2 linked regions of the Arabidopsis thaliana genome follow. The protein of the gene in region 2 interacts with the protein of the main gene of each other region in a pairwise test. Each region holds a gene or a part of one and is shown on either strand. Other genes may lie near its edges.

Region 1 (8,102 bases), on a different chromosome or scaffold from region 2:
CCATGAATTTGGTTTGACAAGTGGTTTTAGACAATTGTAGATTTTTAAAGTTTATTTGTTCTTATTGTGTTCAGTCACATGAAGAGCTAAGCAACGAAATGAGCTTAGAAGAGAAGGAGACGGGGAGAAAGATGACGGAAGAGGAAGAATTGGAAGCAGTAATGGAGATGCTTTGTAGAACAGAAAACAAGTTACTGGACGTGACGCAGAGGCTTGATAGATTTAAAACACCAAAAGGCCGAAAAAAGTTAGGCAATTCTTCTTCTCCTTTACTTGAAGAAGACTCAGTAGTGTATGTTCCAATAGCAGAGATCAAGGAGAAAAGGTAACAATATATATATATATATCAAGAAAAGAAAAAAGTCCTTTGCAGAAGTTTTGGTATTGTTAGATTCTTTTGGAACGTAGTCTAAGAGAGTACCTAATGTAGTTTTGTGTATTATTCAGTTTGTATGTGTCATTTAAACTTCAGATAAAATCCCCCAGAAAAAAATAAAACTGGGATTTTTTTTTTAATGGAACTTTTTAGCTCTCTTTTTTGAATTATGTACATTTCGTTTTTTATTCTCTTTTTTTTTTTAATTCCCTTTTTCCAAATAACTTTGGCTTTTAATTTTAGTTTAAAAAATAATAAAGCTGAAAGATTTAGGTTCTTACAGATAGAGTAAGATTGGCAACTATATTTTTAGTTTCAACCAAGTAATAATCATAGAAAGATGATGGTTATAGAGAAAGCTTTTAGACCGAGTGTATATAGCGGTAAGAATAAATTGTTTACAAATCTGCAATTATCTGAACATAACTCCTTAACAAAGCCTACTGTCACTTTTATGAGTTTACTAAACATTTGTTGCCTAACTTTACAGATCAAATTGAAACAAATGGCAAGTCTCTCTATTTTGCAACTTACAATATGCATTTGATTCATGTTCATCAATTCAAAGACAAAGTATCCACAAAATCTTTTATAAAGTCATATTTGCTTTTTTAGTTTAACCATATTTCTTTATGTTTTTTTCTTCTTATACTCGGTTATGATTGCAATTAATTCAAATGATTTTTTTAGAAGTATAATTTTTAAGATTATAAGAAGGAACATGCATATTTTTGTTTTATTTTATTAGAAAACATCGGATGTTTTGTAGCTCAAACAAATAAACCCTCACAATAGTAGCTCTTCACATATATTGCATAAAACGGATTTAAGTAAAAAACCAGAAGTAAATTAGAAGTTGATAAGACAATTTGGATCATTATAAGCTGCGATGGCCATCTGTATCTTGGCCTCTACTGCACTGCTTTCTTCTTCATCCGCCTGCAAATTCAACGATTTACTATAATTAATACATCTATCACAATATAAACTAAAACAGTCCTATATTATTTCAATCATACGATATCTTTACAGAATTTTGAAGTAAATTAGGATTCTAGGAAGTCCAACGTCAGTATAGATTATTAAAATTAGGGGTGTTTAGGTTTTACACGAATCAGACAAAAAAAACTTCTTTTTTTTTGGCAGCACGTAAAAAGAAAATTAGAACTGATAAATTTGTGTATATACACCTGCACGCATTACTACTATAATTATTTCCCGTGGAAAATGAGATTGGTGGATAAATCATTGTTTAATGTTTTTGTATAATCTTTAAAAGGACGGATAAGGACAGGTTTGAAATGAAATGATCGACTTTTTATTTGATAAATGATTGGAGTATGATTTCACCAACTCTCAATGACTCCACTGGTCTATACCTCACTGTAATTTTAGCGTCTGATTATATTATCTTTTATCAAGAAAATGTTATAAAGGTGCATAATTCTTTTTTGTCAAAGAAAACCAACATAATATTATATTCATTTGTGAGGCAAGAAATACTCGTATTTGTTGTCATCAAAAATTTCCAACCTACAGCTTATAATATAATTACCTTTTTCAAAAAAAATAGAACGTTAGTTCACGAAACTAGCATTTTTGTAATTAGATTGTTTACACCAAAGTCCTAGTATATGATGATGATAAACAAATCAAATAGATAGAGATAATGAAATGAATTTGTATTTTTTAGAGTAAAAACACAAAATAATAACTCTTAACAAATCTGCTTATATTAAAAAGGACCAAACCTTAATTTCTACCATGAACTGCTATGGATATCATTTGGAGTAACTAATTTTTACCAAAATGATTAGCATAATGAAGACCTTATGAACCATATACAACTAGTTAACACAAATAACTTGCTAATTGGCTACAGTTGATTTGTAGCCTATTGTTAATTTGAGTTAAGAATTGATATAAGGTGTAGTGCTAGAAAAGTCACGTGCTAAAAGTGTGAAAGAGACAAACGTTGAACCGCGTGAGGTTATAAATTAGCCACGTTTTTCTAGTGCTACTATGCTTGGACGGCACTTTCTGGGACACGAGGCACTTGAGATTTCACACACTAATTTTTTGATTAAGTTAATCCTAATTTTTTATGGAATATGACATTTAACTTTTGAGAGAATCTAACCCTATCAGAAAAAGTCAAGGCGAAATTCGAAAAAAATGTGATGGGCTCGAGGCAACCTCAATAATTGGAGCTTTAATTGATTGATTAAGATATTACTGACTATATATACTTAAGGTGTAATGTGAATTAAGGTCCACTTAATGGAGACAGGTGGGAGAAAAGTAGTAATTAAATGGGTCCGTCTAAAGGTTATCCTTTTGAATTTGATAGTGATTTTCCAAACAATTCGTAAGTTTGAATTACATTTTTGTACTATTACGTAAAGATAACATATTTTCTTTACCAAAACAAAAGAACAATCCACTTTACTAAAGCACTTAGTCATATGCTTTTTATTCATATTATTAATTCTTGTCCACTAAAGGATTTGTCTACGTGCCGTCAGACGACCATTTTTCTCCCAAAATAACCAAAAAGAAAAGAAAATAGTAAGATTTGAATTTGGTATATAAAAGTCTGAATAGTTGCGACAAATTAAAAATGGACAAATATATTTGGTTGGTGTGTTTTATAGTCCGACAAGTGCATAAAACTAATTTTATAGCTGATTACAATTGATCTAACATTCTTTATTAGCAAGAATCTTCTAAACTATATTATCATCTCTTTCCATTAACATTTTATAATTTCGCTCCATGAGTGCAAAATGAGCGTCAAACCAAAACAAGACACGTACAGTATTCTCTAGATGCATTTAGAATTTTGTAGTTTGTACTAGTAATCACATTGCCAAATAAAGATATGAGAGAGGGAGAGAGGGAGAGAGTGACCTGGAGGAAGAGGGTGGTGGAGAGACGAGAGGTGAAGGAAGAGAAGTTAGTAGTGAGAATGTTGAGATTCAAAGACTCCAACACTTTACAAAGCTGCACCATTGTCTCTCTTTTCTTGCTACATGTTATGCATACCACTACCGTCTTCTCTCCCATCCATGTCACTTTCATCTGTTTTTTCATGTTTATATAAAAACAATTTGGAATAATTAACTTTACCTCAAAAGAAAGGTAATTTAGAATGTACTGCCAAATAATGCATAGTACGTACTTCGAGAACTTCAATGGGGTAGTGTTGTACTCTAGTACTGTAATCCATCTGCTTAAACTTTTTTGATCTCATGTCATTATTGTCTGAGAAATCTTGCAGATGAGTTTCCGCAAAATTGCAATCGTAATCTCTTACCGGATTTTCTAGCAATGTTGACCGTGATTCTAGCTCTCTGATCTCTGCTTCTAGAGTCTTCTCTTGATCAATAAGTTCTTGCATATAGTCGATAGAATCTTTGATGACAGATGCCTTGTCCAACTAAAAATAGATAAATATTAATACTTCAATAAAATCCAGTCTTAATCAACAAATCATCACACGTATACAATTATATGCTATCAGGGTAATTAGGGGACCAAAATACATTTTAGTATGGCTTGATATGGATTTAGAGTATCAAAAATTTGGTTTGCTTATTTGTTTAATGTTGGTTGGATTTGGTTTAACCAGATTGTATTTGTATAGTTTTATTTCTTTACAAAAGAAAGAAGAGAAAGTTTATTCGCTTATTTAATTTCTGTTGACCAAAACAAAAATTGCTGGTGACGAAACTTTATTACTAAATTATTTGGATAACAAATTAAATTTAAAAGAGACAGTTGATTAAACAAATAAGAGAAGTAATGGAATAATTAATCATACCTTGCTTATATTGGGAACAACTGACCGGAGAGCAAAAAGTCTCTGATTAAGCTTTTGCCGTCTGTTTCTCTCGGAGACAACGTTCTTCGAAGAAGCCGGCGACGTTGCCGCTCCGTCTGGCGAACTCGACTCGCCGGAACCCGAAAACGCTTCCTCCATCGGCCAACTTAAATTTTATAATTTATAACAATTTTCATTAATTACCAACTAAAGCAAGATTAATCTTTATCGGAAAAAAAAACTAAAGAAACAAAAAAAAAAAAAATGGACCAAGATTCTAGTAAGCACCTGTCAAATTCGAGTTCTTGATTCTGGAAGAACATTGTGGTTTCCCAGTAATTCTTGTACTCATGGTCGAGATCTTCCATTTTTCGGACACACAAAGATGATGCTTTCTTGAAATGGAAGGTTTTGTTATTTCTGTTTGTCCTTTCTTTCTTTCTTTGTGTCTTTCTATTGAGTGTACTATCAAAACAAGAGTGGGCCGAGGATTTTATACATAAAGAGTCTGACAGAGAGTTTTTAAGCACGTGGGATCTTAATCTCCTGAAATAATTATATACGATCTTGACCGTTCAATTCAGAGATCAAAATCTGTTTCCTTTTGTCCAATTGAAAAACAAAGAAAAGAGTGTATCGTATCTATCTCTTTCACTCACAATATGCATTATTCATATACTCAAATGGGTATAGACCGTATAGTACTTGAATTTAGGGCGTGTTCAATTCCAATTTCATTTTATTTTTGTGAGGTACTAGAAGAGTATCTGAGTATAAATGCAAAATTCTGTTCTTGTAGATATTAATCATTTGTTTTTCTTCTAATTTCGATCCTTAAAGTTAGAAGATGATGTCTAAGTAAGGAAAGAAGATACGTACTAGGTTTTTTTTAAACAAAAATAAAAGATACGTAGTTTCAGAATTCAAAGATTTAAACATAGGTAGACATCGTGGCTATGTGTATGCGTACGTAATGATTATGGCCAATAATGGTGATGATTAGTTGATTGTCAACTTTTTTTGCTAAATTTTATTGAAAATATAACCCACTTGGGTCCAGGATATTCTTTCATGTCCCTTGATTTGAATGCAGTAAATCTATGTTTTCTTCTATTATTTGTGGATATATATTTTCTTCTGATTTTTGAGTGTCTATATATTTATAAAATTCCATCTTCTTTAGATACTGTTATGAAATAAGTTGAGATATATGATTTTAACAAAGTAAGCTATAACCACGGACTTATCTAGCAATATTAAACACAAAATGTGACTGAAAAGCGAAATAATGTGGGGGTGATCCAAAATCTAAAGTATATAAAAATCAAATATCATAGACAGAAAATATTCATAGAATTAGATAATATAGCATATGCAATTTTATTCTACTGAATTGTAACTAAAGAAATATTGATTATTTAATGGTGTCAACTGAATTAAAAGTTGTGAAACGATTCGTAAAACTCTATTTATGATGGTGGAAATATTTTTTTCAATGGTTATGTATCATACATTTGAGTTCTCAGTTCTTTCAAGAATTTGTAAAACGTGGAAAGACATCAAGAAAACTGAAGACGGTCACTAAATCATACAACATACACATACTAAACAATACAACTAGTTCCACATTAATCCATTATACTCAAACTAAATCTAGTATCTATCTTATGAACTAAAAAAAAATCTAGTGTCTATCAATATGGAAAGGTTTTTACTTATATCGGCTTTGCTCCATACCCCGTGATTTTATTCAGAACTTTTAATCTGGATTAGAAATCCGAAAATACTGAGTTTGAGAAACAAATCGAAAAAAGTAAAAACTGTTTTCTCAAATCATTCGTCTCTCACTTACTAAACTCTTGAGAAAATGTGTAGGAAAAAGTTGTATTTTAATTGTATGAAATGAACAGTGTTTCGTTCCTTATGATATTGTTTTCACATTACTAAAGTCGTGGCTTGGATGGCCCAACATGATCTTGGTGATCAAAGATGATTATAATAAAATTATTTGCTAAATAAAATTATTTAACGTACTTATGTATGCTACCACGTGTATGGAGGATAGTGTATGATATGACTTGATATGGTTTTGGTTAAGAATTCATTAAAAGTCTTAATATTTAATTTATTTTGTATGCATAATCGTATTTCCTTTTGTTTATTAGGCTAATTAAAAGCTGTTCTATCTATAATCTTTGGAAGATTCATAAATTTTGATGACTCACCCACCTTGCAATTGCAAATGTATGGAATTGATTATATTGGGTCCAAATGACAACTAAACATTCCCAATATTGTCGGAGTCTAATTCTTTCGTTTCTTATTAAATATGAGGAAGTGTTTCTAGAAGAGTAAGAAGAAAATCGCAGTTCAATTTTGAAATCTACTTTTGTAGTAGAAAGCTGTATAAACAACATCCGTTCACGTTAGCTAGAATACGAAAAAATGTAACGAGTATTGAAACTCCGGTTCAATCTTACGTTACGATATCGGTTAACCAACTTCGACGACTTAAACCCATTCATCAAACAAAATGAACAAAATATGCCGATATGAGAGAAAGTAATTCGACTAAAATTCATTATTTATTTCAAAACATGCAAGAAACTTATTGGGCTGAAAAAACACATGTTGGGCTGAAGGCACGGATTGAACAGAGATATATTTTGAGTTCGGCCCAGACAAAGATGCTTAATGGTTTAGCCCGTTTGAATGTTCCAAAATTTAGTCTTGACTCTTCTTAAGTGTGTGAAGAAAAATGGTGTAAATTGTAATTTCAGTCATTTATGTAAAGTTTTGAAAATTTTCCATGTGGCCTTTTAAGTTTACAAATACAAAATAAATTTATTTAAAACTGGAAGCACGTTTAGATGAATATATAAATCAACAATAAACGAAAACGCAACATATACAAAAAAAAATAAAATAAAAAACAGCAAAGTAATTTACAACGTCCAAACAAAAATTACCAAAGAAAGTTTCCATAATTAATTACATAGAAGCTTTTTATTTTTGTTTCTTGTTCTATCTATCATAATATAACATGTAAATAATGAAGAAACTCCATCATAATATAGCGTCGTATCCTAACAAGAATTGAATAGCTACTGAAGAAATTCCATCATAACATAATATGTAAGTATTTTCTATGGCCAATCAAGTCTAGTCATAGGCTATAATTTTGGAGTAAAGTAACTATGATATTTTCTTTTTTTTTTGTCAAAGAACTATGATATTTATTTTCTTTCTAGTCGACAGTTAGGAATATAAAGAATCACTTGCGACGTATTGAGTTATTTATTTGTCTTGTGATGGAAGTAAAGAAACATTCGTTCAACAGTACCCAACAAAAGACAAATATAAAAGTGAATGACAATAAAATTTGTTAAAAAGAAAGAGCTTAATTATTCCTCTTTGACCGATCCTCTCCAATGATTTGTTCCGTTTTTCGTTTCCCTTTTTAATTTTCCTTTTTATATATAATTTTTTTATCAAACTATAGGCAGTTTGGTAACAACTAAATAAAATCATATTTTGGGCATTAATTTTTGTGCCAATCTTTGTTAAAAAGAAATTCGACTAGCAACTAATATTTACGTTTAAAAATATGTTAACCTCTTAGAGGTTTTAAAATATATATACATATTTGTTAACCTCATAGAAATTGGATTATTGTTTTCACTGTAAGCTTATCCTTCTGCAAAAAATCATTTATCACTAAGTATGAGACATAGATATACGGAGATACACATTACACAGCAAAGGTGACACTAATAAATAGATAATAAAGTTAATATTCCCAATATAAACAAAACTAAAGATACGTATATGATCTTTAGTTTTGGATACGACGCTAGATGATCAAAAGAATTTTATATGAAACCAAAGTTTCATCTTTTAAGT
Region 2 (6,811 bases):
ATTCTTCTGATACATCTAACTTGCCAATAACTTCAAGATCATTTATCTCCACAACAATCTTGACTTCTCCGTTCACAAGATACCCAGCATTTTTGGCATGAAGGTTGGGAAGAGGGATCATAGATGTAAAACCCGAGCCAAGATTTCTTTGATTAAACCAATTTTGTTTCTCTGTTCACGAAATATATAGAAACTCTAATCCAAACAAGCAATAAAATTGCACAATGCATAACAAGAATCTTGCAGCAGCACAAAGCCACATGAGTGTCCATGACAAGTTGTAGAATCATAAAATATCCTTTATAATATAAAGTTTAGAAATAAAGAATTATCTCCTCGTTGGGAGAGTTTGTCCGTAAGTTGATTTATTATAGTTAAGGAGAATTGTGCATATCTTCTCCATCCACAAGGCAATGCTCTAGCATCATCAACCACCAGATACAGAGACAAACTATTATTAAATTTATTTCCCTTTGGATAGGCCAGAAGATGCCTGCAAACAAAAAGCAGTTGCAAAAAAAAGTGGATGTCCTCGTAAACCTAAATTGGACTAATACAGTTAGAAAAAAAGTTTTAGTTTCTTAAGTACCATTTGCAGCCACCAATCACAAATGGATCAGAATAAATTTTGTCATATTGCAAAGTGGAGAAATTCTTAATCACCCAAGTGAACTTGTTATCAACTTCTTCACTCTCCATTAAAGACTCCTCACAACCAAACTACCTTTAAAACAATGCCACACACCCAAATTCATGTTATATACCAAAGGAAACACATCTCGAGTAACAAAATAAAAACCAAAACCTAAAATTCCACTATGGACTCTAACTGACATGATATCCTCAACGCTAGTAATCTTAGCTTCCACATAAAGACGTCAAGGTCGAACCAAACGCTTTAAAAAAAACTAAACTCTACCTTAATGAGAAGAGACAATGAAAAGGGTTGTTCTAAGACAACAGTCAACGGAGACTAAGGGAAAAAAGGGTTTCAGACTCTGAACGCTTACATGAATGCAAATCAAATTTTATTAGGAAAGTGAATCACTTTTATATGGCTTAGGAAACATGACTTGAAAACTAGAGTAACTAATGTTGTATATAATTTAATGCATACTATAAATAATCAATAGTTTCCCCAACCATGGTGATTTACCAGGGATACTCTGTCTCTCTTGTTACTCAGTTTCCAAAATTTCCATATTCAAAAATTTAGATTGTATAATTTAAACACACTTTAGTTTGGATATGATCAAGGGTAGTTACTTGATACAGTTTAGCTCCTATATTCAAGGGATTGCATATATTTCATTTTCAAGGGATTAACTACTTCTTCTATGTTCTGCTTTGATTTATTGATTTCTTCTAGAAAACACATCTTAAACTTTTCTAAATTTAATGTTGGTTAAAGTAATTTAAAAAAAAAACACTTCAAGCGCACAATGCTTTAGCACAAAATGCCTAAGAAAGAACTCAAGACATCAACCTATAGAGGATCTCCACAAAATGTCTCTGCCTTATCAGAGGGCAGTTTTTCAAAGCCTTGTCTAAAACATCTTAAGAACATCATTGAACGAGAGAGGAACATTAGCGGTCAAGTCATTTGCTTTCTCCTTGTCTAGAATATCTTTCAGGTCTAAGCGTTTCTGATTGAGTTTCTGCAAATCTTCCTCTATTTGTTGCAGCCGAGCCTTACCATTATCCACATTCTTCTTCTTTTCCTTTACTTCCTTGAGCTTCTTCTCCAACCAATCCACTTTAAAGCCACCTTGTGACACGAATAAAACTGCAATGGATGCTTCATCCAGATCAGTATCAGAGAGCTCCGCAGGCAGTTGGCACAGCGTTTCAATTATTCCGAGGAGTACATTCATGTATAATGTCTTCAGACATGGTTTCATTGAAGGGACTTCTGATGCAATGTTTGGGTATATTTCAAATATACGCTTCACAGATTCTACCTGTGAAAGAAGAAGAAAAAAATATCATAAAAGCTTTAGAAGCCCTGAATACATACAGAAACATTTTGTACATCAGAGTATTTAAATACAGAAAACCACAAAGAAGTATACTCGCATTAATCTTAAGTTTCTTACCTGTGAAGGAAGAACTTGAAACCCATTGACATCAATGATTTGTTGAGTCTGTTTGAGTAAATCAATAGAGTTGGCACCATCATTATTTGATGTGCCAATAACTTCAAGAGAAACAACCTCAATAACAATTGTTATTTCTCGGCAAATCAGAAACCCTGCATCTCTTGCAAGAAGGTTGAAAGGGGGTGGTACTGTTGGATAACTACAAGCGGGAAGATTCTCATCAAAGTATAGGTCTGAATCTGTAGCATCACCACAAGTATTAAAACATCAATATCACATTAAAACTAATCTAAATCAGTCACTCATTTTGCAAAAAGTATAAATAGAAGAATAACCTGTCACAATGGAGCGTTTATGAGAAATTCCATTTACTATAGTTAAGCGAAGTTTTACATGTCTTCTCCATGAAGAAGTCAGTGATTGACAAGAATCAGCAACCCCCATGTATTGATAGAAGAACTCATAGTTAGTTCCCTTTGGTAAGGCTAGAAGACGCCTACAAAAAAAATCAAATCACCAGAACATAATTAGATGAAAAGTACGTTTGGAACAAAAGTTGGTTCAGTTTTTACCATCTACTGCCAGCAATCAGAAAGGGATCAGAATGACTCTGCTTAGGATAAAAAACGTTGAGATCCTTTATCACCCAGACAAATTTCTTGTCAACTTCCTTCTCCATTATATTACTCGCAATGAAACTACAACAGCATGAAGAGAATTAAACCAAATTCATGTACCTACCAATCAAAGTATCAAACACACACACTCTCCAACAAATTCTTTCTTAGTTTAACAAAGATTTTACTATGAACTCAAAGACATATGAAGTTTCAGCCAGCAGTTTAAACTACTTAAAACTAGTTGACCGTAGTTGAGGAAAAGAAATATTCTAAGACATGCAAGATTAAGGGAATAAAGCGATTACCCTTGAGAGGCGAGTTGAAAGAGAAACAGCGACTCAGAAGTCAGAACTCGTACCCACTTTGTCCAAGTTAGTCCAAGTTTGTCAGAGCTACGAACCCAATCCAAAAACCAAATTACTTGGATCGAATAGTTCAAAAACGAGATTCAACCATTTTTATAACATTAATCCTCTAAACCAAAAAAAGGGAGATATCCAATTCCAATAAGGAAAGAAACTAAAATCCCTTCTTTGGAATTGACTTTTCCAATAAGGAAAGAAACTTGGACTTGAGATTCTGTTTCCTTTTTTCTTGGTGAATAGACCTTCCAAGGCTTTTTAGGTCCTTTTGTGTTAAAGAGAGGAACAGGATGCCAAACGTTTTCAAAAGGGGTTGCCAATTTCTTTTTTGATTTTTTTTTTTTTAGTAAAGGATACAGATTTTTACAGTAAACTTAGGAAATATTTGTTTAATTTAATGAAGATAACTGACGCTTTTATATATATAATCTTGCAACAATTTGTTCAAGTCATACCCTTACAAAACAAGTAACTAAATATTAGAGCAGAAGTGAATAAAAGAACCTAAAAGATTTTCTTAGAAATACTATGTTACATCTCAATGTCTTCTAGATCTGGTAAAGGGAACCTAAGAATAGCTGCAATTCCAGTATGCTGTGCTAGTTGTTCCCCTGAAGCATGCATTGACGAAAATATAAAAACCTCTCCTCCTGAATCTTTCACCGACTCCACAAAATCCACATACTTCTTCCTTGTTTTCACGTCAGAGTTCCTAAATAGCCCATCTATAATGAGAAGTGTTTGGATTGCCATTCGTTCATGAGCAACTTCCACATGTTTTGGTCCATAACATGCTCTATTTGGATCATTCGAAAACATGGTGAAGAAATCGTTGAGAGCTTTGACCTCTTTTGCTGCTTTAGTATCTTTGATCATATTCATCACGTTAGGGTCATGCAAAACCTCGCTTAGGCTATGTTTATATCCTGAGTTTGTGTGCACCAGAATGAAACGTGATTTGTTCTCAAGAATAGGTCTCAACTGTCTTCTCTCTGCTTCCAACAATAGGTGGCGATGAAACTGATCTTTTGTAAACCCGGGACTTGCAATCACTGCGCATCGAACCACACTGAAGTCAACGTGTTTCAGAAAGGCTTGCACAACATTCTCAAAGAATTTCTTCAAAACTGACTCGTAACCAGCCGTTCCAGCTCCATGCTTCCAAGGAATCGATGTTTTTATTCGTGCACCGCAACTTTTTACACTTTTGCCGGCAAGGAAGATTTGTGCCAGTCCTTCTTGCATTAGAACTACAGCTAAATCAGCACTAGCTGCAAGATCTGAGGCCTGCTTGAGTGTATCAAGAGCCAGTGAGTCCCAATTTTCCTTTCTCAATAAAAAAGGTCGTTTAAGCTCAATCTCCAAAGTATGGAATGCACCAATCCTTACATGCTCGTTCTCCATGATATTCTTCCCGCGTATGCGCATAACATCGCCGTCTTTGTCATAGTCCACCTCCTCAACTTGTACTTCTAGCTTAAGTTTAACACGTTCAGTCCGGGTGAAAGATCTTTTCTTTCCAAGGTATTTGCTTTCTATTCGACTTAGCGATGGAGTCGAGTCTCTTCCTTCACCACCAACTTTTCTGAAAGTGATAGCCATTACACTATCCTCCGGGCCAATCAGGTTATAAGTATACCAGAGATCATCCGAGTCCTCTGCCATCATCTTAACGCTTCCGGGTCCATTACGAACAAAATCCTTGCGAATGATTTTCATCTTTCAGGATTTTTGAAGGTATTTTCCACTAACAGAATCTGAAGAATAAACTGTCGATCGGAAATTGTGGTAGGGAATGAAGAACAATCAATCGCTCTGACAAGAAGAGAAGAAAAAATAAAAACTTAAAGTAAACTTTTGCTTAAATTAAGCTGTTATTGATCTGAAGAAATAGACTTGATCTCCTGAGATATACATATTTATAGCTAGCTATAAAGCTTACATAAGTCGTCTAGGAAAACTAGGAAACGTATTTTCCTTTTCTACATTGTTAAGTATTGGGGATAGAGATTAATCTCATTAGGATTATTCCTATATATCTTCTGATTATGTCCTATATTTTAGGGACTAGAGTATATCTTATACGATGTCTCTCTTGTATAAATATTATACTTTGTGAATCAATAAAATCAAGTTAGTGCAATATCTAATTCTACATAGTTTCTTTATTTCATTAGAGCATCCTTATCCATAGGTTGTTAACAATATCATAAGAACTATTAAAATATTATATTAAACAAAATAAGAATAAAAAAATTAAAAAAAAGTATACTTAAGAGATGAAAAATGGCTCTTAGCTAAAAGTTTTTAGATACATTCTCTCTAGCCTTTTTAATATTTAAACATTATTTTGTATATATCAAAATTGTTTATAATTCTATGTAAGAGTCGATTGATAAAGATGGTCTAATTTCCTTTTCTTAATTTTTGACGTAAATTAATCAAAATCACGTGCTGCTCACATGTTGTTCTTACTATTTTGCTCACTTCTTGTTGTTCTTAGGATATCTTTCGAAATCATTGGAAGATATGACACAATTTGAATGGATATTAATCATCATCATTTCCTAAATCTTTTTCGGTAGTTTGTATGAGATTAGAAGCGGCTACTTATTATCTTGATAAGGTTAATATAAAAATAGACATAAAAAGAGAAAAATGGAGGAGAAACATAATGGTTTAGCACAATCGAAAATAGAGTACTACTCTGTTTCTCACTTGATCCTTCACTTTCACTCCATCTCCTTTTCTCAAATCCTTCCTCATGTTTTTGCAGCACCACTATTCAAGCCTTAAATCTCATGACGGTAGAGAAAAATGGAAGTTATGATCCAAGCTTAGTGATTTCCCACTTACTCAACAAAAGAGCCATGTTTTTGGATATGAGAGCGAGAATGTGAGATTAGTCAAGAAACTTAAAATATTTGTCCACTTGTTTTATGGTGATTAGTCTTGTCACTCTCAAAACACATTACTTTAACAGCAAGAAACTCAATATTTTCTAGAAGAAACCTAGAACTTCCTCTTGAAAACATTGTTGAAAATTTCCAAGATATGTCTCTTTTATCTTCCTTAAGTTTTAAGAAGACTATCATTACGAACCTATAAACGAACAGACCAGCACACTAAGCAGAACCAACCTCCAAGTGTCCTAAAAACACAAGAACATCAAACAACATCATCGAATGAGAGATGAGCTTTTGCAGCCGACACCTTGGCTTTCTCTTCCTCCACTAGCGCTTCCATTTTTGAACACTTGAGCTTCAAGTCCTTCAACTTTTCCTCCATTTCTCGTAGCCGAGTCTCACCAGCTTCATCATCCTCCTTCTTTTGTGCCACCTCATAAAGTTTGTTCTCCAACCAATCCAACTTAAACCCTGCATTTTTCATACATCCAATTGCAATATATACGTCACACAAATCATCCTTGGAGAGTTCTTGAGGTGACTGAGATAAAGTCTCAATCAGACTGAGTAGCAAACTCATGTAACCAGTCCTAAGACTTGAGTTCTTTGGGTGGATTTCAGATGCAATCTCTGGGTGTCTTTCAAAAATATGGCTAACAGATTTTGCCTGCCAAATGAAAATACAAGTATAAATTCGCATCCCTATTCAAAGACAGTTTAGGAGACATGCACCTCAAAAAAGAACCATATAATAGAACACTATCTATCTACACACAAAGTCTGTAACATTCTTAAATTGTATTTTTACCTGTGAAGGAAGAAGT

What was found.
Region 1: the proteins of AT3G58380 (region 2) and AT4G29930 interact in a two-hybrid assay, tested with the Arabidopsis thaliana proteins (one large-scale study listed by BioGRID).

The regions. Positions count from the first base shown.
Region 1 is NC_003075.7:14,640,573-14,648,674, reverse strand, and holds AT4G29930 (basic helix-loop-helix (bHLH) DNA-binding superfamily protein), read right to left. Parts: upstream 4,682-8,102; 5' UTR 4,568-4,681; coding exon 4,488-4,567; intron 4,366-4,487; coding exon 4,200-4,365; intron 3,816-4,199; coding exon 3,558-3,815; coding exon of another isoform or gene 3,507-3,557; exon of another isoform or gene 3,458-3,506; coding exon 3,170-3,457; 3' UTR 1,316-3,169; downstream 1-1,315. Other genes in the region: PRHA (pathogenesis related homeodomain protein A), read left to right, coding at 75-329.
Region 2 is NC_003074.8:21,596,418-21,603,228, forward strand, and holds AT3G58380 (TRAF-like family protein), read right to left. Parts: upstream 3,192-6,811; 5' UTR 3,025-3,191; intron 2,798-3,024; 5' UTR 2,779-2,797; coding exon 2,672-2,778; intron 2,596-2,671; coding exon 2,435-2,595; intron 2,339-2,434; coding exon 2,097-2,338; intron 1,962-2,096; coding exon 1,548-1,961; 3' UTR 1,382-1,547; downstream 1-1,381. Other genes in the region: AT3G58370 (TRAF-like family protein), read right to left, coding at 5-177, 333-493, 590-699; AT3G58390 (Eukaryotic release factor 1 (eRF1) family protein), read right to left, coding at 3,613-4,800; AT3G58400 (TRAF-like family protein), read right to left, coding at 6,250-6,654, 6,796-6,811.